7 linked regions of the Nothobranchius furzeri genome follow. The protein of the gene in region 3 purifies or fractionates together with the protein of the main gene of each other region. This does not show direct contact. Links are inferred from orthologs where the notes say so. Each region holds a gene or a part of one and is shown on either strand. Other genes may lie near its edges. The genes, in order: heterogeneous nuclear ribonucleoprotein R, rps29, hnrnpub, gtf2f1, heterogeneous nuclear ribonucleoprotein D0, igf2bp3 and rfc4.

Region 1 (4,027 bases), on a different chromosome or scaffold from region 3:
CCATCTGGGACCTCAGGTTAATGATGGACCCCCTGTCTGGTCAGAACAGAGGTTATGCTTTCATCACATACTGCAATAAAGATGACGCACAAAAGGCTGTGAAGCTAGTAAGTCTTACTCTATAATACAAAAAAAACACTAGTCAAATTTCAGTTCCTAATAACACAAGAACATTTATATAAAGGGATACTTTGCAACTTTTTCGTAGTTTTAAAATAATTTTCATGAGCCAGTATGTGCTAAAATGACCTTTTACAGGCTCTAATTTCCCTCTGGGGTTAATAAAGTATTATTGAATTGAATTAATGAAAGGCCACTCAGCTCCTATTGTGACCAAAATATTCCACTTTCAACTTCTGATTCGTGGGCTGCTCTGTTGGGATTTTAAAAAATGTAGCTGAAATACCTGGCACTGCAGTCTGGTTCCAGCACATTTCCTGCATGTTTTAGATCATGAACACAGCCGATTTGTTAAGTTTAGTGATGAGTCACTCCTGTAGACACTAATGAAGGATGAGGAGACATTTCAACATTTCGATTAAGGTGTTAAAAAGACAAATGCACAGCGAGGAAATAGGTTTTGCTTTCGGTTCGACAAACGAACACTGGGGGGTGCTAAAAGCCAGCAAAACTGCCTAGTTCCCCTTTAAGATAGTAGCTAGTTCACTTTATTAAAGATACATGTAAGCCCATAGCAAAAGATGGATAATTGTGTTTTATAAGAAATTCCGTGTCTGTTGTGTGAAATTTTTTTTACCTTTCTTATTTGTTTTCAGTGTGATAACCATGAAATTCGCCCTGGCAAGTACTTGGGAGTTTGTATATCTGTTGCAAACAATCGCTTGTTTGTTGGATCCATTCCCAAGAACAAGACACGGGAAAGTATACTGGAGGACTTTGGGAAAGTGACAGGTTTGTTTTGAGTGCAGTTATAGATTTTATCAAACCAATCTTGACAATACTGGAAGGCTTGTTTTTTTTCACCCCACAGAGGGTCTGCAGGATGTGATACTGTATCACCAGCCAGATGACAAGAAGAAAAACCGCGGTTTCTGTTTTCTGGAGTACGAGGATCACAAGTCTGCAGCACAGGCACGTCGCCGCCTAATGAGTGGGAAGGTCAAAGTGTGGGGCAACCCTGTGACAGTGGAGTGGGCTGACCCTGTTGCTGAACCAGACCCAGAAGTCATGGCCAAGGTCAGTAGTCCATGTTTTCTTCAGAAAATCATTCCCCAGCTCCCAGCGTTAAAAATAGGGATGTGTATCGATGAAAATCTGGCGATACGATACGAATCACAATACAGGGTAGACAATACGATGTATTGTGATACATTCGGCCAGACATTATTAGCAAGTTTTTTAGATTGAATTTATTGTAGGAAAATTCAATAAACAGTCCAAACTGATACGTAACATGTTTAACATGAGGTATCTGAACCATAGTAGAGGGATTTAAATTTCAGAGGTGGCAACAAAACCCATTGCACACTGCTGCTGGCTAGTGGTCAGCATTTGAATTGCACCAAAAGAAAAGAAAGTAAACAAATGTTTGCATGCAAATTCTTCCAGAAACTTCATACACGGCTTTTGAATATCGATGTAATATTGCAGGAAATAATATAGCAATATATTGCTGTTTCGATATTTTCTTATGTTCCTAAATAAAAGACTAAATTGTTTTCTGTGATCTTAGGTAAAAGTGCTTTTTGTCAGGAAGCTGGCTACAGCTGTGACTGAAGAACTTCTGGAGAAAACCTTCTCCCAGTTTGGGAAGCTGGAACGGGTGAAAAAGTTGAAAGACTATGCTTTTGTCCATTTTGAAGATAGGGATGCTGCTGTAAAGGTGGGTTTTTTTATGAAATAATCAGCGTAATACTAGTGCGTCATGTTTCTCGGTACTTGACAGTGATGGTTTGCTCTTTGACAGGCTATGGATGAGATGAATGGGAAGGAGCTTGGAGGTGAGGTAATTGAGATTGTTTTGGCAAAGCCCCCAGACAAGAAAAGGAAAGAGCGCCAAGCAGCTCGGCAGACCACCAGGAGTGGCGGGTGAGCCTAAATGGAAACATGTGGTTGGTCAGTTGCCCAGAACAACATATTCATGAAATTTTCATCCTGCAGGTATGATGACTACTACTACTACCCACCTCCACGCATGCCATCACTAGGCAGAGGAAGGGGTCGTGGTGGCCGGGGAGGCTATGCCTATCCACCTGATTACTATGGCTATGACGATTACTATGACGATTACTATGGCTACGATTATCACGACTACCGCGGTGGCTATGAGGACCCTTACTACGGCTATGAAGATGTGTACAGCATGAGGAGTCGTGGTACTCGCCCCAGCAGGGGTGGACCTCCACCACCTAGGGCTCGCGGGGCTCCAACAGCACGAGGTCGGGGTGGCTTTGCACAAAGGGGGCCACCCCTTGGAGGTCCACGTGGCGCTCGAGGAGGACGTGGAACCCCTTTCCAACCTCAGAGGGGCCGTGGTCCTCGCGGTGCCAGGGGTAATCGTGGCGGGAACGTTGGCGGAAAGAGGAAGGCAGATGTGTTTACCCAGCCCGACTCCAAGCGCCGCCAGACCAACAACCAGCAGAACTGGGGGTCCCAGCCCATCGCCCAGCAGCCCTTGCAGCAGGGGGCCGACTATTCCGGTAACTATGGTTACAGTAATGACACCATGGAGTTTTCACAGGATTCTTATGGGCAACAGTGGAAGTAGATGCACCAAAAGGTATTTGGCAACGACAACAAAAAAAGAGGAAAACAACAATAAAAAGAAAAAAAAAATCAGGAGATTGGCCACAATTTTTGATTGACTTTTTATTCTTCATCACGTGTGAAAAAAAAAGATCTGTACGTATCTCAGAAAAAATGGACACACTGCAGAATTGGCTCAAGATGATTGGCTGGAAATGTTTTTGGCTGAAGAAATGAACGTACCCCTTGAGGTGAATCATTTCTTCCTGCTACAGTCTCATTTGGACGTGTCTTTACAAAAATTGCAAAAAATTTACGCTTTTATTGTTACTTTTTGTTCCTGTTTTTTTTAAAACCAACAAAGAACGTTAACAAAAAAAAGTGGACATTCGTTTTAAAATATCTGAGAGGACGTCAAAAAATGCATATGTCCTTAAGTTTTTTGTCCATGTCCCCCTCCCCATTCTTGTACTCCCTTAATTTGTGGTTTCTTGTAGTTGCTTAGGGATTTGCTTGTAAATAAATGCATATCGTTATAGCTTCATACATCATTTTTTGCGAGGGTGGAGAAAAGAATCCACAAGAAGGAAGAAATCAAAGTTTTGTATTGTTCGAAGTGTATGCATAGCATTTCTAGAGATAGACGAATTGTGTTTATTTGTTTTTTTAACTGATACCATAACTTCCTTGTTTTCATTAAACTTGCCCGGTAGAATTTGGTTTGGCTGACCTTAAGAGCCATAGCAGTTTGTTCTCTGATGTTATTTGTATTTATAACTTTTCCGTTTTGTTCAGTTTCAATAAAACTCAGCTGAGCATCAGTCAATTGTCAAATACTCAAATTCAGTGTTTGTCCTTCACTACTTGATTTGATCCATAACCTCCAATTGTCACATTCGGAAGATCTTTTTTGTCAAATTTTGTCAGCAGTGCAAAAGACTAAAGAACTAGAGAGTTCTGCTTGTCGAGTTGGATTTGAACCCTTTATTCTTCAGTGTTTCGCCCAAATGGCTGTGATCCCCTTACAAGAACACTCATCCTGTAAAGGTGACCGCTACCATTCTCATAGGTTGTTCCCATTTCAGTAGAGCTAATGCTCCTTCAGTAAATGTCTTCAGCCACTAGGAAAATACTCAGTGTACTTTATATTTAATACAAAATTCACAACACTGTTTTCACGTGGATGTAGTTGGAGATTGGCTGACATCTATTAAAGCTTTCACTAAAATTTTAAAAGTAAGAACAAGTTTGGAAAATAGTGAGTTGTCACTTCAACCCTAATAAGTTGACACACTCACCTGGCCTTTCCATTGGATTCGTA
Region 2 (2,948 bases), about 5.5 Mb from region 3:
CATCAGGTGTTTTATATTGAAACTGAAATGCCTTTAAATGAGGTTCAATTAAAATAACCAGAAACTGATTAGAAAACTGTTGGATATTGTTGATGCCAAGGTTTGCTGCAATGCAGAACTAAAAGGACATTTGCCCAAATTAAGTCCAGACCTCAAGATTGTTCAATGGAAGCCTTTTTACAGTTTTGTCAGAAAAAATGTGGACCTTAATGTACATGATTATTTTTCATGTTTTACATGTACTTGTGATTCACCTTGATTTTGTATATAGAGGTGTTAAATAATAAAACTTTCCTACGTGTTTTTACTTTGCATATTTTAAATAAGCTTGTATTCAAACATTGAGACAATAAAGTTTTGAATTTCGAGCAGCTAAAACCTTTCTATCCCAGCCCGGGTCTCCGACTACGCCATTAAAAATAACCAAAAAATGTGAGGTAGTGAGGTTTTATGGTGGACATCATTTAAAATCACAGTGAATAACCACACAACTCAGATGATCTGGACAAAAAAAACAACACATTTATTTGAAGTGTTTAATTTTTTCCCATCTTGGTCAGCCTTCTAATGACGCCATGACCCGATCAGAGGATGTCAATGCGAGTCATTTAATCCAGCTGTAGGAAAACAAATAAAAAGAGAATTAGAGCAGAGGTAATTATTAGTTTACAACAATCATAATTATTATAATTTGCTCATACAGTTATACTCCAATTTGGGTTTTTTTTACTACGAAATTTTATAATTTATTTTGTTCTTGAGCAGCTGCTCGTGGTTTTTATCTGGACAGAAGCTACAGAACAGTTTCTTCATGGACTACTTGTGCAACACTTGTTTACATGTGTAGAGGGTGATGTGGAATAGAATTCCGCTTTTAAGGTGAAAACTGAATCTCACCTTAATGAAGCCGATGTCTTTGGCGTATTGCCGGAAGCACTGGCGGCACATGTTGAGTCCGTATTTACGGATCAGTCCGTGTCTATTTGAGCACACTCGGCTGAAATCACACAAGAATACGGATTAGATGACTATGAAATTGGAAAAGGTACCTGGAGCATCCGGAAGCAGAGCGAGCCCGGCTAACGGTCAACACATTACGCTACATTTATGATGATTGCTTACTTACTTATCTAGTCTTAACATTGTCATTTGCATTAAAGTCTAGTAAAAACAATAAACTATTGTAAACGCTTCGAACCAACAACACAGATGATGTTGCTGAATAGAGGCGGCGAGGTTCATCCTAAGCCGCCATATTAGCTTCGCCATGAAAGCCCATGCGGTGCAGCTTTGATCCCGTTTTCGCACAAGAACACATAAACAAACACACAAATATCACTCGCATTAGCGCGTCACGCGACCATCCACGGGTTAAGAGTAACACTGACCAGGAGCGGGATCCCTGGCCGAACTTTCTAGGGTGACTCCAGTAGAGCTGCTGATGGCCCATCTTGCCTCTTTTCGCTCGAGTGTCGGAAAGGAGGAAAAGACGTACGCGCATGCGCAAATGACGTTTGCATAGGCTCAATTTCCGGTAAGAACTATTTTAGGTGCGCCCCTACTGGTCAAATTAGTAACTGCGTATTACGTTGAACGACAAAACCATACAGCAGCGTTCACTTGTGTCATAATGACTTTTAGTTAGTTAGTTAGTTAGTTAGTTAGTTAGTTAGTTAGTTAGTTAGTTAGTTAGTTAGTTAGTTAGTTAGTTAGTTAGTTAGTTAGTTAGTTAGTTGTTTATATCACAGCATTCAAATGGTGGATACAGATTTGAGAAGTTACATTTTTGGTTATTATTTTTTTTCAATAGAGAATTCTGACTATGACTCGTGTCAAGTGATTTCTATTTAGATATTAATTGCCAATTTAAAATGCCATTTATTATAAAGAAGAGGTTTTAACTGTTTTGAAATGTGCAAAATCTGGTGTATCTTCATTTTTAAGGATGCATATTATACGTTTGGTAAACTGGCTTGGTTTTAGTCACATATCTTAGAAGTAGAGTTATATTAGCAAAGTACAGGCAAGTAGTAGTAGTAGTAGTAGCAGTAGTAAATCTATCAGCTGAGACCTTTGCCTCATTCTTCACTGACAACGTGGCAGCTATAAGCAAACAGTTTACTCAACTGGCCACTCCTGAACATTCGCTACCACAAACTCCTTCTAGCCCAACCATCTCAAGCCCGACTGCTTCATTTTCCTCTTTTTCCCCTCTCATTGAGAACTGTGCGTCCAAGCTTCTCACGTGCAGCCGCCCTACTACATGCCCACTCGACCCCATTCCGACTAAGCTGCTCCAGGCTATTGCTCCTACAGTAGCCGCAGCAGTCACACATGTGATCAACACTTCACTGACATCCGGTACATTACCCATCTCTCTCAAGCATGCTCAGGTTAAACCGCTGCTAAAAAAAAATTATCTCTTCCTCCAAATCACGTGGAGAACAACCGATCTATCTCTCTCCTCCCTTTTCTGTCAAAAATCATTGAAAGGGTGGCTTTCAAGCAGATCACAGAATACCTCTCACAAAACTGTCTGCTAAACCCTTACCAATCTGGGTTCAAAAAGAGTTAGGGTTACGGTGCTGGTGCCTATCTCCAGCGGTCAATGGGCAATGAGGCGTGGTACACCCTGGACAGAGAGTCAGTCCATCACAGGGCAACACAGAGACACACAGGACAAACAATCATGCACACACACACACACACCCAAGGACAATTTAGACAGACCAGTTAACCTAACTGTCATGTTTTTTGGACTGTGGGAGGAAGCCGGAGTACCCGGAGAGAACCCACGCATGCACAGGGAGAATTATTAGACTAAAATGTGCCCAATAATGTCCTGTGCTTCAGAATTTCTCCTATTTTAAACACTCTGAGGACACTGCTCATTATTTTTTATATAGCTTGATGAATATTTCTATCATATTCTTGGAGTTTGGCTGGAA
Region 3 (4,003 bases):
GAACAGATATGAGATTGATAGATGCACTTCTGCTACAGAATGCAGTCGTTAAAGACACAATGTGAGTGTAAAAAGGTAAATGGTAAGGCTTTAGCTATTCAGGGATGACCCTCAAACACATGTGTGAAAGGTTATATCATAAATATATGATAGAATACTTCAAACGAGGCTTTACCTCTTGCTAGTTATGTGCATTGGCACTTAAAGCCAATACAGTTCAACAAAGCTTGGATGGCGCTTCAGGGATGCTGAAGGCCACCTCGGCTCTGTCCCATCCTTACCAGCTGTATTTGTTCTCTTCAATAAATTCAAAGTAGCCCCTTCCATGTTCCTCCCGGCGTCTCTTAACACCCTTCTTATTCTTCTGATCAGCATTCGTGTCTTTGTCCGCATCTCCTTTGAAAATAGAACAAAGATATAGAATGAGGTGCTCCTTTTTGAGAGAGAGAGAGGTCGGACTGGCAGTGGGGTTCTGGCCCACGAAGCCCGTTCATTATTTACATTGCGTCTAGCATGATTACCAAGAGGAAACACCTCATAGTTACATTTAAAACAGTACAATCATATTACATGACTTGTAACAACTGGTAAGACCAGGTAGTAATTACAGCATGAACTGGCCCAAATGAACAGCAGCAGCAGAGCTTGATGGGGCTGGAAAAGGGGTCGTGAAAGGGTAAGAACCCTTCAGATACAAGTCCTCTAGTCCTAGATGAGGGTCTACTGCATCAGGGGGAGTTAACCATGCAGGGAAACCTACCTAAAGCCCAATGACACCCCCCGCTAAAGAAAAGGATGATATGTAAATAAAAATGTATGTATACCCTTTAATATCACGCTTGTATTTCAAATCGAAAACACACGATGGACGTATCAGGAAAGTTGTAGGCCACTCCGTTCTTCTGCAAAGCGCTGGGTTAGCAAGTTCAGAGGTTCCCAAGCTCATAACCCAAACTAACACCCAAATACAGCTTCAGGTCTTTTACATCAGCCTGCTGAGGCTCTTCCTTCAAACATCTGCACCTCATAACCAGACCTGATGCTAGTGTTGGCTTTTGATCCGGCTAAACACGATTCTGGACTTCACTCGTCTACACTAGATAGAATCTTTAATAATTTAATCAATCACATACAGTCCAAGACTGGGACAATTTAGTTCTTATGGGCAACTCAAAGTGGTCCAGCCCAAAAACACGCAGACATCTGGACTAACAGTTTGAAGCTGACATGCACTGACCTGCGGAAGGAAACCATGGAAACCCACACATGCACGCGGAGAACAAGCTAACTCCATGCAGAAAGGCTGGAGCTGGGATGTGAACCTTGCTAAAAGCTAAAAGTGCTACCAAATGGAGTTTGTGAAACCGTTAATCATTCAGTAAGACTAAAGTGTTATTGATAACGGGACCACATCAGAACCAGTCATATGAAGCAAGGTGACAGACTCTGGTGCCTTGCTGATCTCTGGACCAGATCAGAAGCGGTCCTTGTAGAAAACTTCATCAGTAATGTGTGCCACTCCTAGTTGATCAGAGGTAGAAAATGTAACGCATGGGGGATTTAGACCACGTTTGGACCCACTCATTAAAAAAATCTAAAAACTAAAATTGTCTTCAGTAATTTGTGTTTTTGCGACTGGAGCACGTAAGAACTGATCCTGTTCTGAAAACAGAACACGTTTTAGTTTTTATATGTATTAAAGAATTACTTTAGCCCCCTCCCGCCTCGTCTACGTGCTGTAGTTCTGAACTAGAGCTGATCAAACGTAGTCCAGATGAAGCCTTGGCGAGAGGAAAACCGACTAAAGCGTGATGGGAACCTCTGAAATGGCTAACACGGCTAGCTAGCGCAGACCGATACAAAGGAAAAACGATGCTAACTAGCGTGCTACTATCAAGCGACACAAGAGAAAAATAACAAATTAATTTCTTAAGAATTATTTATAAGCATGTTCCTTAGTTAGTCCGTGTCAATTAACCTACTATCCGTTGGTAAACTGGGTTAGAGAATCGTACATTTAAATTATTGTAACCAAGGCGTTGGCTAATGCTAACTAGCCTGAATCACGCTGACTGACTCAACATGGACGCCATGATAAGCGGTAACAACCGGCTACCCCTCCCTTACGGAAAAGCATTCAAATCTACGCTACAGTTCCCACCTCCCCCCACAAAATGACACCCAGCCACGGTTCATCCAACAAATCATTTTCATAGCGTATTGTTTCTTCTCACCCTCAGTAGCGTGATCGCCGGGCTCACCATCTTCTGTGTCAATTTTCTCCATGTCGTCTACATCCTCCTTTAGCATGGGATCCATCTCGTCCTCCTCGTCACCTTCCTCTTCCCCCTCACCCATCTCCTCGTCCACCGACACACCGTTCCCGTCGCCGTCATTCGCCGGCTCTTCTCCCTCGTTGGCCTCCATGCTCTCCTCTACCGGGCCTTCTTCTTCCTCCCCCATACCCTCCTGGATGTCCGCGGCCTGCTCGTCCGTCGCCACATCCTGAGCGGCCGAGTCTCCAGCGAGGGCCTCCTCGTCCAGCGCGGCCTGCAAGCGGTCCATCAGATCGGCCTTCAGCCCCTTGTCTGATAGGTTTCGTTTCTTGAGCTCGTCTTTTAGCTCGTTTACTTTAAGCTTCTTCACGTTAATCGTGCTCATTGTGGACGTTTAACGACAAACTACTAAAATACGTCGACAAATAAACAATAACGTGCACTTTGTTAGTAGATGTTGCTCGAAACGACGCCAAACGTTACGCGCGATCCAACCTTTCACCAACGGAGAGGGAGCTGATGAGCCAGCCTCGGCGGCGGGAGGGGGAGCAGAGCGCTAACCACTACCGTAATGATCCTAAAAGCAGCACAGTCGAGCCAGAGCCACCACGGTATTAAAACTGGAACAAGAACAGGGCAGTGCAGAGATGAGAGACGGGTGCCCCAAGTTTAAACGGGGCACCTAAAACAAGACTGTCAAACCCCTTACATCATTTACAGATGACCAGGTAGACTAATAACAACTCATTATCAATAATCTATCTAATCACACCATCTGCTTCAAGCTGTGTTTTGTTGCCTCTACCTTTATTGCGCCTGTTGCTTGAACAAAGGGCAAAACATTCAGGCTCTAGATGTGGAAAGCTGGTAGGGACATAACCCAAAGAGACACCCCCCAAAGCCATTCAGCTGTAATTGCAGCAAAAGATGAGTCCACAAAGTATTTATGCAGGGGGCTGAATACAAATGCACAACACACTTTCATATTTTTATTTGCTTAAAATTTTTGAAAACCATGTTTCATTTCACACTTATGTGCTTTTTTATGTTGATCTAGCAAAGAAAATATCAATAAAAATATTGAAGTTTGTGGTCAAAATATGTAGAAGTTCAGAGGGTATGAATACCTTTGCAAGGCACCACGTATGTATGTATGTATGTATGTATGTATGTATGTATGTATGTATGTATGTATGTATGTATGTATGTACGTACGTACGTACGTATGTATGTATGTATGTATGTATGTATGTATGTATGTATGTACGCATGTATGTATGTATGTATGTATGTATGTACGTATGTATGTATGTACGCATGTATGTTTGTATGTATGTATGTACGTATGTATGTATGTATGTATGTATGTATGTATGTACGCACGTACGTATGTATGTTTGTATGTATGTATGTACGTATGTATGTATGTATGTTTGTATGTATGTATGTATGTACGCATGTATGTATGTATGTATGTACGTATGTATGTATGTACGCATGTATGTTTGTATGTATGTATGTACGTATGTATGTATGTACGCATGTATGTATGTATGTATGTATGTATGTATGTATGTATGTATGTATGTATGTATGTATGTATGTATGTATGTATGTATGTATGTATGCATGTATGTATGCATGCATGCATGCATGTATGTATGTATGTATGTATGTATGTATGTATGCATGTATGTATGTATGTACGCATGTATGTATGTATGCAT
Region 4 (3,804 bases), on a different chromosome or scaffold from region 3:
TAAATGTATTTACCTACTTATCAACTTACTGCATTCGACTCGTCTTAACTCCTCATCTAGAATCTTCTGGTGCTGATCCGTGGCTGACGACAGCTGTTCAGAGCGGACATGTTTGTTATGAAACATGCTGTTCCCGCATGTGACCACAGAATGCTGTTGCTACTTTATGCACTTTAAGTAGAGAAAAGTCTCAAACTTCCACTATTTTCTGGTACAACTATCATTTATGACACAGTGTCATTAGAGATGCACTGATTTTGATAACAAGGCTTGTGTGTGTGTGTGTCTTTCTTTTAGAAATGGTTGTGTGTTCATGTGTTATTTTCTTTCCCAACAGCCCAGATGAAGACCAAGTTAACGAGAAACCCACCAGAGAGGAAGAGCATCCTAAAGGTTGGTGTGAGACGATACTGGTATTCTCCTGCAGGAGTTTTGTTTGTTTCTCATTGAAGTAATTTGTCTGTTTGCAGGAATCGATGAGGAATCAGAGAGCGAGGAAGAGAGCGAAGAGGAGAAGAAGAATGAAGAAGAAGCAAAGGAGGAGGAAGAGGAGGAGGAAGGGAAGAAAACCCCTGTTCAGGTGGAAAAGAAGAAGAAGAAAGGTATGAACTTCACGAGTGATGTTACGACCCCTCCTGTCTGAAAGGAGTAACTCAGAAAATTAAAATAAAAGGAATGCACCAAGGTCTTAGCAACAATTTGATGTTTGTTATAACAAAGGTTCACTCAAAGTAGAAGAGGCACTGCAGTATAACAGACAAAGCAAGTCTCCTGTATCCAATATTAATTGTGACATTTAACCCACTGGGAGAAAACTATCTCAACTCATTAACTAAACACACATGCTGGATAAACGCACAGCAGAACTGGTGGAAAACTGGGTTAAACACTGAAGGGGAACTAAATCTAAAGAAACTGTTGTCTTAAAGACATCAATTAACTAAGCGATCTCTATACTACGAGTTATTCTAATAACAGACAAGCCACAACCAAGGGGATGACGGAGAAGATCTGTGCCCCCTTTTAAAGGCTTGAGCTGTCTAGATGCAGATTCCTGCAGCAGCGTGTCGCTCTCCCTGGTGCTGAAAGTGGAGGCTGGAACTGAGCTGGAGAGGAGAGTGGCAGCTTGCAGGTGCTGTGCAAGGTTCTGACTCAGGAGAAACTTACAGGAGCTGTAGCAAATTACAATTTCTTTTGGGTTTAGATTTTAAAGATGGCTGAGTTCCGGGGTCAATTATTTCTTTTTGTTCGTGACAGACAGCAGCGGCGAATCAGACAGCTCCGATGACAGCGACATCGAGGGAGAGACGGCCTCTGCTCTGTTCATGGTGTGTGTGTGTGTGTGTGTGTGTGTGTGTGTGTGTGTGTGTGTGTGTGTGTGTGTGTGTGTGTGTGGGAAAGAGTTCTGCTTTAAATTACAGCTCAGTTAGTCATTCATTGACACATTATGACCTAGGGGTGGGAAATTTAACCTGTTTTTTATGCATCGCGATCGAGACAAAGATTCTGACTGCATTTTAAAATGTAAAAAATGATGTTAATTGTAATAATAAGAGCGGGTAGGAACATATAACCCCAGTTTAACACTAGAAGCATCAGCAGCACGAAACGGTTTACTTGCAAACTTCAATGCGGTCCTCTTCACACGGGGAGAGTCTTGGCCGTGGTACGTCTTCCTTCCTGTGCTCCTCGCTGGACTCGCGGGATCACAAAATCTCTCGAGATTTCAAAGATCACGGTTTGTTTATGCAATCTGCCATTAAACCAAAAAGAAAAAAATCACATTTGATATCGCTGTTTGATGTCATATATGATGTTTTTCTCTCCATAGTCAGGATTAAAGCCATGAAAACACACCGCTGCACTTCTGGAACGATACTGGGAGTAAATAAGACGTTGGGTCACACGTAAGCTTCATATATATGACATTGCATCGTTTCAGTACTTTTATTTTGAAAATTACCCGGGATTTTACACTGAAACCATGTGTGATTTCCTGTCTAGCCTTATGTTCACTGCGGGAATTGACGCATCCCAGAAGCGGCTCGTGGCAAAAATAGAAACCAATCTTTAGCGGCGCAGCGTGCCGCTTCTGGGACGCTCCTGAAAATTGTCGCATCGTGGCTGGTTTCAAACACTCCATAGACAAAAGATTTTATTTGAAGCAGTGACGTTCCGCGCCTCTGATGCTTTCAGTGTGAAACCGGTGTAAGACGGGACATAAATCTGGGTCATAATGGAACCACGAGGAGCTGATAGATTCCCACCCCCTACTACTTAAGTCGAGTGTTTGAGTCTAAATGAAGTTGTGAATATTTCTTTTTTTTGCTGCATATTTGCTTTCATTTTTATTATTTTTAAATTGCTCTTTGCAGAAGAAGCGAACTCCTCCTAAGCGTGCAGGCGGTCGTGGCTCTGCAGGAAGCTCTAGGACAGGAAGTCGTCCTGGAACTCCATCAATCGACTCCGCCTCCACCTCCAACACTCTGCGGGCTGCTGCTAGCAAGCTGGAGCAAGGTGTGTGTGCCTGTAGATTAGCACAAATACGGAAATCGGTCACAAATACCATGTCAACGATGAGAATAATTTATTTTCTTTGATCCTTAAGGGAGGATTTGTGTTTAATTAAATCTCTCTCTCTCCTGTAGGGAAGAGGCAGGGAGCTGCTGCAGACTCCCCAGCTGCTAAAAGGCTAAAGATGGAGCCCAGCACTCAGAGTCCTGTTCCCTCTGGGAAGAGCACACCCCAGCCCCCATCAGGCAAATCCACCCCCAGCTCAAGGTAAGTACCATCAGAAAACAGAAAGAAATAAATCCGTTTATTAGGCTTAAATCAAAATCTAAAACTCTGCAAACTGCTAAAAAACCCTGACTTTATTTATTTATCCCCCGCTACAGTGACGTCCAGCTAACGGAGGACGCGGTCCGCCGCTACCTGATCCGTAAACCGATGACCACGAAGGACCTGCTGAAGAAGTTCCAGACTAAACGGACGGGTCTGAGCAGTGAGCAGACGGTCAACGTGCTGGCTCAGATTTTGAAGCGCCTCAATCCAGAGCGCAAAAATGTCAACGACAAAATGCATTTCTACCTTACAGAGTGAGCAGGTGGGTGGTGCAGCAGAGGAGGGGTGGGGTCTGGAGGGAAGTTTGATGCAGCAGGACTTGAGCTGTGCAGAAACGCCAGCGGCTCTGAACGTATTCTGTTCAACATGTTGAGTTTGTTTAGTCTGAACTTTTGCTGAGTGACAGTTTAAGAGTCGAAATAAAAATCTTAGAGCTTCTTTCAAAATGAAAGGAAACATCTTTAGCTTGTTTTTCTTGAGTTGGAACTTTTATAATGAAATTGAAACCCTGAAAAGTGATTTCCTCTTGCTCTTCTGTCACATTCAGCATCTCTGCACATTAAAGCAGAAATTCTCAGAGAGCACCATCTAGAGGTGGAAAAATGTATCGCATCTTAAGCCCCTCTCCCACGCCATGTTCGTGAACACGCACCTCTAGCCAACCAACAGCTAAAACACATTTTTCTAAGATTATTCTCCTGTAAAGCTGTTTATTCATATTTTTATATTTTAAATACTCACCCACAAGAAATGTTACCAACTCTGCATCAGTCTGCAAACGCTCAGTGATGCAGGTTAAGTACAGATGTGACATCTGTATATAAGAGGATGCCTAATGCTATTGACTAATGAGCAGTCATCATTTCAAATCGCACAAGGCTCTACAGACTCTTAAAAATTGACACATGACCTACATTATCATACAACCGGGTAAGACGATCACTTTTATGTGTTTCTAAA
Region 5 (3,500 bases), on a different chromosome or scaffold from region 3:
AAACATTATTAATTTATTATGTCTTCATTAAGGTACAGTCATATAATGAAATCTGATTGGATGAAGTGATTGCACCTGGCTGAGTCCGATGTTGTGGTACTTCTTCTCCATAATCTTCTTCACTGGCTCCTCCTCTAGAAATGTGATGAAGCAGAAGCCTCTCCTTTTGTTAGTTTTGTTCTCCATGGGAAGTTCAATCAACTCCACCTGATTAAATCATAGTGAATGCATTCATGATATATTGGGTTTTATTTAAAAAGGAAAATGCAAGCAAAAGCTTAACGAATATAAAGTGAGGCGTGTGTGTGTGTGTATGTGTCACACCTCTCCAAAAGCACTGAAGTACTCTCTGACTTTGTCTTCATGAGTATCTGGAGACAGACCACCAACAAAGATCTTCGTCACAGGCTCCTTGGCCTTCATGGCTTTGGCTCTTTTGGGGTCGATCACCTTCCCGTTGAGCTTATGTTCCTTCTGTGATGCAACCTTCATGAGGACAAACGCCAACAATAAACCAGTTAAACGTAGAGTCAATCAACAGTTCTATGGATGGTTTGGCCTTTTGATCAAACAACTGTCAGGGTTCGTTTTTCGGGCTGCGAACATCAACAGAGACACCGTGGATATGAGGAGATAATAAAGGTCACACAGGTCAGGTCAGTGAAGGTGGTCCATCATCTGGGTAGGCTGTGATTTAATCCTAATTCAACCTACAGCCTCCTGCTGATGTTGTGATGAAATAGGATTTTTTATGTTTTATTATTTTCTGCATTGAACAGAATTTGATCCACTCTCCAACTTTTCTGAAATGAGACCGTTGGGTTCAAATAAAATAACAAACAAAGCCAAACATTTCCTTTGGTGTTATTTATTTCTTACGCCCTTGTACCTTGGCACAAACATGTGACTAAAGCAGCTCAAAGACATTAAAACCTAATATATGGATCCATTATGGATTTTATAACCTAAATTACAGACATGTCCAATTGGGTTTTTTGCATCTGCAGAGCATGCTTCTCCCACAGCCTGAGGCATGACTACTGAATGAGGAAACAGATTTTTTATCTTGTTATAAATGTTTTACCCTCTTACATTATCCTACAGTCTGCTGTGAACGAAGAGCTTTTGGGGGATGGTGTGTTGTGTCAGATTTTTTAAAAGCACATATCTGTCATCCTCTATTTATCAATGAAAGCAAACCCATATGAAATAATCGTTATGAATCAGGATATTGAATCTAATCGAGTCATGAGACTAGTGAAGATTCACGCCTCTATAAGTTTTATTTATTTTCCCTCAATCTAATTTTTAAAAAACTAATAATGAAATAAATTGAAGTTTTATTTTTTCTTTCAAAAAATGACAACAAATCTATTATATTTATTATCCTGGCAGCAACCCAACCTATATATGTGTAGTACCACGACCCATAGACAGAGCTCAGTCATAGGGCGGGATCTACAGTTGTCTTTCAAACGGCCTCTGCATGCTACTGGACAGTACTAGGACCAATAAGAGCAACGAACAATATAACATATTCATCGCTACTTAAATCAGTCTGCCATACACATAAGAAGCAAACACATGCTGTTTGTACCTCTATCTGCTCATGCCTCAAAGAGAAGCCCAAGTCTAATTTTCCAAAGTTCATGCCAAAGCCATTGAAAACAAGCGCAGATTATAAACCATTGCCATCTTCGTAGTTTTTCTCCACTGCAGCTCTTACATTAAGCCAAATGTTCGAGCCAACTGTAGACCTGCTGAGGCAACATGGAGCATGACTAGACCGACCTGCAGACCAAAATCTTTTGCTTCTACTACGGTTGGTCAACATTTCTAGGCTAGGTATTTACGAAAGAGGACAAAATACAATTTTTGACTTTACTCTCAGAAAAATTCTAATTTCCAATTTTAATCTCATAATTCCAATTTTTTCTCTCTGAATTCTAAGAAGAACGTTTTTTGTGACCCTAATTCTCTTCTGTAGACATCACTCAAGAATTATAAATGGTTTCTTCTCAAAAGGATCCTGTAACATTTGCAGCTCTAAACAAGTTTTATTAAGGTGGACTGAGGAGAAAAGTTCTTTGGATTGCAAAGGTTGCAAATGATCTAGAAGCACAGAAGCTTTCTGTTGGAAAATGGTTCATTTCTAGAAGGAGTGCCTCCTGCTGATGAATACGCTTGAGGCATGAAATAAAGGAGTATCATTCAATAAACTCTAGATTAACCTCCTGCTCCACACTTATTGTTTTGCAGCATTAAAATAAAAGAAGGACCGTACCTTTTCAACACTTTCCGGTTCTTTGAAAAGTACAAAGCCGAAACCCCTTGATCGACCAGTCATGGGGTCCAGTTTTAATGTGCAGTCAACAACCTCCCCAAACTTTGAGAAGTAATCCTTCAGGTCCTTTTTAGTGGTGTCCCAGCTGAGGCCTCCCACAAACATCTTCCTATTAATGAAACAAATGGGTCAGGAAATATAAAAATCAGTGTCTGTGAAGAGCAGCTTGCATTTTTCCCACCCCTCCATCTGCCATCTGGGGGTCAGCAGCCTAAGCAGAGAGGCCCACCCTTCCCTCTCCCCAGCCACTTGGGCCAGCTCCTTTAGGGGAATCCCAAGGTGTTCCTTGACCAGCTGAAAATGTAGTTCTTCCAACTGTGTCCTGGGTCATCCCTTTGGGTCTCCTCTAGGGTTGTCACGGTAACCGGTATAGCGGTAAACCCCGGTAAAAAAGTTGACAATAAAAATAACCGTCCAGTTTTTAAAAAACTAAATTATCTCGGTGGGTTTACCGTGGCCGCGGTTTCGGCGCGGTGACCCTTACCAGCCACCGTCGCTTCAGCTGAAGTTCCCGCGGCGCGCACACGCACTTTTTAGTTTGCAACGGCACCAAAACTTTGAAGCTGAAATAATGGCCGAAGGAGGAGACGGCAGCGCCCAGGACATCCATCAGCCCTCAAAGAAGACTAAATCGGAAGTATGGGCATATTTTGGATTTCTGAAAAATGCTGAGGGACAGTTAATAGAAGACGGCTATCCCGTTTGCAGAACGTGCAGGAAACAAGTGTCTGCAAAAGGCAGCAACACTTCGAATCTAATGGCACATCTGCGTGACCATCACCCACGTCTCTACAGCCAGTGCAAGGTAAGTTAACATTAGCATTTTAGCTCAAATGCATGACGTGAGGACTTTTGGCTGAGGGAGAATGCAACGAGTCACTATAGACTGCAGCCGCAGCGTCCTCTGCCAGCATTTAAACCGTGTCACGGACACCCTGTTGCTGGATGAAGCATCTTATTTGTTGATGATGAAGAGAAATATACAATTAGTTCCTTGTCAATTTGATTTGTTTACTTATTCAATGCCATTTATACTTGAACATTTGGATTTGATTACATAGTGTAGTAGTTATTTTAGTAATTTGTTTAAAGTGGCTATTTATTTCAAATACATATTTTTTAAGGTTGACTTGTACAGTGCTCAAGTCAAGTGTGG
Region 6 (3,500 bases), on a different chromosome or scaffold from region 3:
TCACGGGGAAATAAAACATTCATATTTGTAGTTTTTCTGCGAGGTTTTCTTCTAGCTTCTCCGTGTCTAGATATGATCAGCTCCATTTTTAAGGACACAATGGCGGTGCTGTTGACGAAAGTGACGACCTGACCAATCGCAAGCTTGCGTTGGTCTTGTTCGACCGATGTTTAGAAAAGTGAGCTCCACTCCGTCCATCCTTGCGAGCCTGCTGTAAAGCCCTCACAGGGACAAATAATGGCGTTGTGCGTCTCTACGCTCCTGCGTTTGCGTCAAACTACAGCAGGGCTGTTAACGACTGTTGCAAGTCCACTTTCTACCTAGGAGGGAGGAGTGGAAAGTCTGCTTATCGTTGCTTTAATAGACTCATATGCCCAAAGGAACTGAATTGGTAAAAACAAGTAGCTAGCTTGCTAAGATAAACGTCCTTCAGAGCCTACACACCTCCATCCATCTGAACAGATACATGACAACCTGCATGAACCTTCAGGAGGCATCTAGAGAAACCTGCAGCCAACCCTAAGCCCTAATCCTGCAGCAAGCAGCCACAAGCCGTGCAAAGCGCTTCAGGATGGGTGACTTACAGCAAGGGGCTGGCTGCTCTCCGACAGCACAGAAGCCCAAAACGGCCCCTCGGCCCCATAAGGACTGCACTAGAGGAAAAAGGACACGTGAAACCCAGTCGCTCTGGACTTCTCGTTTTAACCAGACATACCCAAAAATGTACGAGTTTCTCAATCCACTTAATAGAAAACACAACCAAGTCTTACTTACACCAAACGAACATCCGCCAAGCGCTCCAGGGGGCGGGACATTGGACATTGAAGGACCCATGCCTGGTGCTCCGCTGGGGAACAAACCCAACGCATTCAAATTCAAGCCTGGAATGAGGTTGGACTGGAGCTGCAGAGAAATTCAGACGCATCGATAAGCATGCAGGTTAAGATGGAGGAGTTCTCGCCTCTGCAAAGAAAACAGGAATTCTCACGTTCATAGCAGCCATGTCGCTCTCGTACGACTCCCGGATTTTCTTCATCACCTCCTGCTCTGCACTTGAGCACGCCTCGATGGAGCCCTTTATTGTGATAGTCCGCTCTGGGTTGTAGAGGGTGAGATCCTGCAACCTGGACACAAGCCATCAGAGCAGAGATGTGCCGTTTTAGCCGCTTCACTTACAACTTTGCTGCATATGATGCAGAGAAAGGCGGCATCAACAGCCTGGCGTCTCACGGTGAGATGGTGATCTTGGTCCCCGTGTCCTGCTCGATTTTCTTCAGGTTGCGTCCTTCTTTTCCAATTAATCTTCCTACAAAGTTGTTGTGTGCGAGGATCTTCAGTGGAATCTCCTCAGTGCTGCACGACAAGAGCAGTGTAACAAACCATCAAACACTCAACACTGGGATCAAATCTATTCATCTAAGAAGGAAACACCACCCGAGCACAGAGAGAACAAATGAAGTTTAAGGCCTAGTCCACACGTAGCCGGGTTTTTTTGAAAACGAATAACCGCCCCTCCAAAAACTTGAATCCACATCACCGCGTTTTAAAACAAACTCTGTCCACACGTACCCGGATAAATACGTTGTTAAGGACATGCCAGACCTGTAGGCGGCAGTACTTCCCCCGTTCTTAACCTCGTCCTTCGTCTGGGGTCTTCCGCAAGGAGCAGTAATTCCGCTTGCAAAAACAAACAAGCAGAAAACGCTTGGACAATTGATAAAGCGAGCGCAGCTCTGAGGGCATCCATGCTGTCGGCTAGTGTAAACACAGGTCGCGCACGTGATGTCAGCACTTTTTTCGTCGCGGAAAGTGACGTTGCGGACCTTAAAACTCCGGTTTTGTCCGTCCACACGCAGACACCCAAAACAGAGAAAACGCAGATCTTCACTTTGGCCGGAGTTTTTAAAAAGATCCGTTTTCGTGTGAAAAAATTCCGTTTTCGTGTGGATGACAGGCCAAAACGTAGAAAAATATCTACGTTTTGGCAGATCCCCGGCTACGTGTGGACAGGGCCTAAGTGTCTGAGTTACTTTGTCCTTCTAGTTAAAAATTAGCCGTTTTTAGGAGCCCAAAATCTGTTTTAGTGGTGGCTCTCACGCTCCCTTCAGGAATCTTTAACCCTTCCAAGCCATCATGTTCTACAGCTCCGTTCACAACCTCCAGTCACGATGCTCACATCTAATCTTTGTGTTGAAACAAGCCGCTCACTGAACTCACAACTTTGTGTCGAGGGCTTCCTTCTGCATGATCTCCATGATGGTCGTGCAAGCGTTTGAGCAGCCTTCTGGGGTGGAGTGGATTGTGATGGGCTTCTCCGCTGCACCTGCGTTCTCCTTCCTATGGATGTCGATCCTGGTGTAAAGAACCGGACGACCAGTCAGCACGTTCCAACATGAACAGTAAAAGCGATTTTCTGAATGTGCAGTTATGTCCTGACCTCCGTGTACGTACTTTGAGTGGGTCTGCTTGGTGATGTTGCGGATAGTGGCGCCCTCCTTGCCGATGATCGCCCCTACAAACTGCGTGGGGACCAGCATGCGCAGCGGGATGTCTGACTGGACTTTGGGCCGTGCTCCCAGACCAGGAGAACCTGAACGAGGAGGTCCACGAGAGTTGAAGGTCCTCCTGCCGCCCGCAGAAGGACCTTCTGGTGCAGCCGTTTCATCTGGGATATAAGACACTTTCAAGGCGAAGTTCTCCATCATGGATCCGTTCAGCTTCTCCATCGCACTGGGAACGCAAGACATTCCAGTTCTGTTTACTAGAGAACAGCTCAGTGACCTGAATGCAGCCTTTGACACAACTGCACTAGGAGACTAACGACCTGCACCAACTACACCGTGGTAGTTGGACTTCTGTACACCAGGGGGCACTACATGGTTAATTTAAACCCCTTCCTCTCCAGCAGGCTCATCCACAAACATGTGACCACTCTCCCCTATCTCCCCTCTGCTACAAGCTTCAACAACATGAAGGTAACTGGATGCAGTTCAATTCAAACAGTTTCAAAGACATCAGAGCAGACGTGTACTCACAGCCTCGCTTGGTCCTTGGTTGCATATCGAACACTGACAACGGCAGTTTCTGTATCAGTGTTTACTGTGAGAGAGAACACACACACGCACACACACACTTTGACAATACAGCCTCCTTTGTTTGATGGTTTAACTTTTTCCAACAGTGGCGATCAACAAACAGGCTAAAGGGTTTCCGGTGATGTTTTCAGGTTGACCATCTCAGACTCCATCCAGCATTAGTAACTCATCCAAGAAAAGGTGTGTAGATGCAGCCACTGGATTTGTGTCTTTTGTAAATATTAGTCAGAATGACCTCTTTTGCTCCTAGATGTAAAAACAAAAGTTTACCTTGTTCACAGCTCTCTACTGCACCGTACTGAGCAAGCATACCGTCCAGAACCTGCGGAAGAGAAGAGCCCTGATTGCATCACTGATTTTAATGGTTAGTTCTTCCTTTGGAAAGCCTTCAGATTATTTTGTCAT
Region 7 (3,411 bases), on a different chromosome or scaffold from region 3:
CCTGCAGGGCTGGACATCACATGCATCCATCCATCAGAGGCAGAGTCAACAGGAACTGGTTGAAGTGTTAAATCTGAAGGTCCATGAATACCCACCATTACTAGAAGGTGAAACTGCTGTGGCCGAGAAATAAGATCGACTAAATAGCTGAGCTCATTTTCTGTTCTGTTTATTCTTTCCACTCTTTTCAGCACTGAGGCACTTTTTCAGAGATGAAATGAGATCCGATACTGGGTAGTAAAATACGTTTGGCAGCAGTGAGTTCTCAGTAGTTTATGCACGACTCAAACCAAAGCATGACTCAAAAAGAGGAGACCGTCCTGAGCACGTCAGAGGCAAGTGTACACCTGTTTCCATTCAGGCATAAATGTTTGCGTCTCAACACAAAAAAAGTTTAGATTGGTTTAGAAGACTCTTTCTCCAGCTTTTCCCCTCACAGGCGGATGAAGGAAACATCTCCTGATGTTTGAAAACCAAGAAACTAACACCACAAACACACAAAAGATTACAAAATCCATTTATTACTTAGAAAAAATACACAAATAGTTCAACAATATGATGTTTTCTCAGGCAAGACTTCTATGAGGGAGGTGGGGGTGGTAGATGGTAACTATCAACAACATCCTTGAAAGGCAGATGCTGGTTCAGGCGGGGGGGCTTTAGCTTTGAGAAGCCTGCTGCATGATGACTGAACACAGACTCAACAACTGCAGGTACTCGTCTGCTCCATCTGCCAGGCACTTCCCTACGACCTGGAAGAGAGCACACACAGGCTTAAGCCGGGCGGACACTGTGCGGCTTTTTCACTTTTTTGAGCCGATTTTCCACTCGTGCGAGAATCCACGAGATCGGGGTGAGTTTTGCGCCGAGCGTCGTGTAGTGTACAGGGGGTTACGAGAGGCGATTAACACCACGTGACCAGCTGCCGATCAGCAATCGTGAGCTCGCACAAACTTCTGGCGTGTTTAATATTTCGCTCGTCCCTCGTGAGGGTATCGCACTGTTGAAGCGGCGCTGCGAGCAGCTGTGACCCAAAAAGTATCAGAACCGCTCACGGCGCATGCGCAATCATCCATCAACACTGCTCGCCCGCTATTTCCCTAATAACACACGCTGTTCGTTTTTATTTCTAGACGTAATTCACTCACAAAGATTGTCAAGAAAGCGTGTTTGTCGTGTTCATGTCAAATTAAACTGACCACAAAACACAGATTTACTTTCTTTATTTTGTTTTCCTCATCCAACCCCCATAAATGCCTGTGTGTCCTCCTGCAGCACTCCCGAAGGACAACAGGCAAAACAAGACAAAAAAGTCTAACGTGTTGAGTAAAAACTGCTATTTTTAGCATATTTTTAGGGCCGACGTGTTGCTACCAGACGTACAGTGTGAGCAGTCAGATCGCATGCGAGACCTGGGTCGTGCAGTGTGAGCACATGACTCGTGAGATCTGCCCTGCGAGGAAGTCGTACAGTTTGAGCTGAAGCTGAGAGCTACGAGTGAAAAAGACACACAGTGTACGCCCGGCTTTAGGAGGACTGCTGTAATAGAGGGCTTCTGCAAATGTCCAGCTACGAATCCACCACAGGCGCCCTAAGGTGCTAAGGTGTCTAAATGTTTTCATTCCTGCCATCTGCGGACATTAAAATACCTACCGCCATCTTCTCCATGATAGCCGACTTTTGCTTGTCATTAATGTCCTGCTCCAAGATGGCTTCATGGAGCTGGTTCAGGATCTGTGTGGCTGCATAGCCTTCATCCACCATGTTCTGTTAGTGAGGAGACATTAGACACAAGAGGCAGAGCAAGCACATCACTCACCACTGTAGCTCAGCAACAAACAAACTCATCCATCACAAATACGAAGGAAAAACAAAAACGTTTACCCTGACGGCAACTTCCAACCTCTCAAATGTTCCCTTTAAACAAATCTGGATCAAGTTGTCGATCATCTTGGACGGGACGACCTGTGAGAGAGCAGATAGGGTCATGTGAACACACAACACTAGTTTGTGCTCTCAAATGCAAAAGACATTTAAATTATCCTTAATGGAAAGGCTCATTATTGGTGCTTCTAATCTACTGAAATACAAAGTGCTGGAACCGACCCCTGCAATCTCAGTGATGGCACCATCGGTGATTTCCTTGTTGGCACTGAGACGTGCAGCACTCTGGAGAAAGGTGATGGCCTTCCGGAGGTCTCCTTCAGATAACTGCACCAAAGCTTTTATACTCTGAGAGAAACCAAAAAGCTTAAGTGAGAAGATGCGCACTGAGCCGTGGACAAACAAAAATCCACTAAATTTGACCAACTCCACTAATGGATTCTTAACTCATTCACTGCCATTTTTTTACTGTTTGTTCTCTCAGCGCGGGGGCTCGTTCTGATGCTCAAACATCTCAGCCCTGAAGCCGATCTTCATCCGCATACGTCACACGTCACATGATCAGGAAGCAGACCATCCATGTGTTAGGAGATCGTTTTGGGCCGTTCCTGTAAAAAAAGTGAGGCGCGAACCGGAAAAGCGTCTGCCGATCACAATTCGACAACGGATTATGAAAGAACGGATAACGCTCGAAACACACGGCTTCTTCCTGATGTAAGAGGTGAGTCTCCGCTTTGTTTTGGTTGTTTTGGCATCGACATCATGCTAGCGCGCAACGTTCTGTGACTCTTAAAAAAACTGTAAAAACGGTGAGAAACGCTGGCAGCGAAGGCCGTTAGCGATCAGGAAACGGCTGGCAGTGAGTGAGTGAAAGACCCACACTGTCACCTCTACCTCGCTGGTGTACTTGAGATTCTCTTTTTCACAAATCTCCAGTAGGCGCTTCTCTTGGATCTGATTGGCCAGTGGTTTAAAACGAAACTTGGAACATCTGGAGGTGAGAGGTTCAATAATCCTAAAAAAAACATACACACATCATTACCAGGGTCAAACAGAGAGCGTAGCCGAGCCTGCTGGGAGTCTGCGGACCTGCTTATATAGTTACAGATGAGGCAGAAGCGAGTGGTGCGAGACTCCTTCTCCATGGTCCTTCTGAGAGCAGCCTGAGCTGGAGCAGTCATGGAGTCAGCCTCATCCAGGATGATGATCTTGAAAGGAGGACATGGCTTCCCACTTAAATACAAGAAAATGTGTTTCAGGGTTTGGCATCAGACTAAATCTAACCTTATTAAAATGAAGAGCAACACCTGTACTTTATGTAATAATCACAATGAAGTCATGGTTTAAAAATACAATCAACTAGCCCATACCATCAGCCCTCTGCTACCATGCTGGTATGAGCAGTTTTCTCCATAAATGCACCTGTGCATTATGGGCAGGGATGGGTACCTTTGACATTTGAATCGATTCGGTACTAATTCCCGGTACCAACGAATCGATACCGGTACTTAACGGTACCATTTTTCG

The links.
Region 1: the proteins of hnrnpub (region 3) and heterogeneous nuclear ribonucleoprotein R purify together in Homo sapiens (affinity purification with mass spectrometry; 3 studies listed by BioGRID and IntAct, with this or other methods). This does not show direct contact. The link is inferred for Nothobranchius furzeri from reciprocal best matches to the Homo sapiens genes HNRNPU and HNRNPR.
Region 2: the proteins of hnrnpub (region 3) and rps29 fractionate together in Homo sapiens (co-fractionation; 3 studies listed by BioGRID and IntAct, with this or other methods). This does not show direct contact. The link is inferred for Nothobranchius furzeri from reciprocal best matches to the Homo sapiens genes HNRNPU and RPS29.
Region 4: the proteins of hnrnpub (region 3) and gtf2f1 purify together in Homo sapiens (affinity purification with western blotting; 3 studies listed by BioGRID, with this or other methods). This does not show direct contact. The link is inferred for Nothobranchius furzeri from reciprocal best matches to the Homo sapiens genes HNRNPU and GTF2F1.
Region 5: the proteins of hnrnpub (region 3) and heterogeneous nuclear ribonucleoprotein D0 purify together in Homo sapiens (affinity purification with mass spectrometry; 4 studies listed by BioGRID and IntAct, with this or other methods). This does not show direct contact. The link is inferred for Nothobranchius furzeri from reciprocal best matches to the Homo sapiens genes HNRNPU and HNRNPD.
Region 6: the proteins of hnrnpub (region 3) and igf2bp3 purify together in Homo sapiens (affinity purification with mass spectrometry; 3 studies listed by BioGRID and IntAct, with this or other methods). This does not show direct contact. The link is inferred for Nothobranchius furzeri from reciprocal best matches to the Homo sapiens genes HNRNPU and IGF2BP3.
Region 7: the proteins of hnrnpub (region 3) and rfc4 fractionate together in Homo sapiens (co-fractionation; 3 studies listed by BioGRID and IntAct, with this or other methods). This does not show direct contact. The link is inferred for Nothobranchius furzeri from reciprocal best matches to the Homo sapiens genes HNRNPU and RFC4.

What each region holds. Positions count from the first base shown.
Region 1 is NC_091759.1:6,948,558-6,952,584, reverse strand, and holds the end of heterogeneous nuclear ribonucleoprotein R, read left to right. Parts: coding exon 1-107; intron 108-776; coding exon 777-912; intron 913-991; coding exon 992-1,197; intron 1,198-1,693; coding exon 1,694-1,843; intron 1,844-1,927; coding exon 1,928-2,049; intron 2,050-2,121; coding exon 2,122-2,728; 3' UTR 2,729-3,527; downstream 3,528-4,027. UniProt on the Homo sapiens protein: Component of ribonucleosomes, which are complexes of at least 20 other different heterogeneous nuclear ribonucleoproteins (hnRNP). hnRNP play an important role in processing of precursor mRNA in the nucleus.
Region 2 is NC_091742.1:24,519,075-24,522,022, forward strand, and holds rps29 (small ribosomal subunit protein uS14), read right to left. Parts: upstream 1,538-2,948; 5' UTR 1,502-1,537; coding exon 1,389-1,501; intron 998-1,388; coding exon 898-997; intron 618-897; coding exon 609-617; 3' UTR 501-608; downstream 1-500. UniProt on the Homo sapiens protein: Component of the small ribosomal subunit. The ribosome is a large ribonucleoprotein complex responsible for the synthesis of proteins in the cell.
Region 3 is NC_091742.1:29,998,752-30,002,754, forward strand, and holds the start of hnrnpub (heterogeneous nuclear ribonucleoprotein Ub), read right to left. Parts: upstream 2,801-4,003; 5' UTR 2,662-2,800; coding exon 2,235-2,661; intron 397-2,234; coding exon 282-396; intron 1-281. UniProt on the Homo sapiens protein: DNA- and RNA-binding protein involved in several cellular processes such as nuclear chromatin organization, telomere-length regulation, transcription, mRNA alternative splicing and stability, Xist-mediated transcriptional silencing and mitotic cell progression.
Region 4 is NC_091752.1:52,158,895-52,162,698, reverse strand, and holds the end of gtf2f1 (general transcription factor IIF subunit 1), read left to right. Parts: intron 1-337; coding exon 338-393; intron 394-470; coding exon 471-602; intron 603-1,257; coding exon 1,258-1,328; intron 1,329-2,375; coding exon 2,376-2,517; intron 2,518-2,648; coding exon 2,649-2,781; intron 2,782-2,897; coding exon 2,898-3,102; 3' UTR 3,103-3,304; downstream 3,305-3,804. UniProt on the Homo sapiens protein: TFIIF is a general transcription initiation factor that binds to RNA polymerase II and helps to recruit it to the initiation complex in collaboration with TFIIB. It promotes transcription elongation.
Region 5 is NC_091746.1:62,885,467-62,888,966, forward strand, and holds part of heterogeneous nuclear ribonucleoprotein D0, read right to left. Parts: intron 2,454-3,500; coding exon 2,285-2,453; intron 487-2,284; coding exon 325-486; intron 208-324; coding exon 76-207; intron 1-75. UniProt on the Homo sapiens protein: Binds with high affinity to RNA molecules that contain AU-rich elements (AREs) found within the 3'-UTR of many proto-oncogenes and cytokine mRNAs.
Region 6 is NC_091751.1:26,468,166-26,471,665, forward strand, and holds part of igf2bp3 (insulin-like growth factor 2 mRNA-binding protein 3), read right to left. Parts: intron 3,418-3,500; coding exon 3,366-3,417; intron 3,100-3,365; coding exon 3,036-3,099; intron 2,731-3,035; coding exon 2,452-2,730; intron 2,353-2,451; coding exon 2,218-2,352; intron 1,354-2,217; coding exon 1,231-1,353; intron 1,125-1,230; coding exon 989-1,124; intron 904-988; coding exon 775-903; intron 654-774; coding exon 585-653; intron 1-584. UniProt on the Homo sapiens protein: RNA-binding factor that may recruit target transcripts to cytoplasmic protein-RNA complexes (mRNPs). This transcript 'caging' into mRNPs allows mRNA transport and transient storage.
Region 7 is NC_091756.1:57,709,074-57,712,484, reverse strand, and holds the end of rfc4 (replication factor C subunit 4), read right to left. Parts: intron 3,118-3,411; coding exon 2,974-3,117; intron 2,900-2,973; coding exon 2,779-2,899; intron 2,233-2,778; coding exon 2,107-2,232; intron 1,966-2,106; coding exon 1,885-1,965; intron 1,768-1,884; coding exon 1,654-1,767; intron 753-1,653; coding exon 660-752; 3' UTR 501-659; downstream 1-500. UniProt on the Homo sapiens protein: Subunit of the replication factor C (RFC) complex which acts during elongation of primed DNA templates by DNA polymerases delta and epsilon, and is necessary for ATP-dependent loading of proliferating cell nuclear antigen (PCNA) onto primed DNA.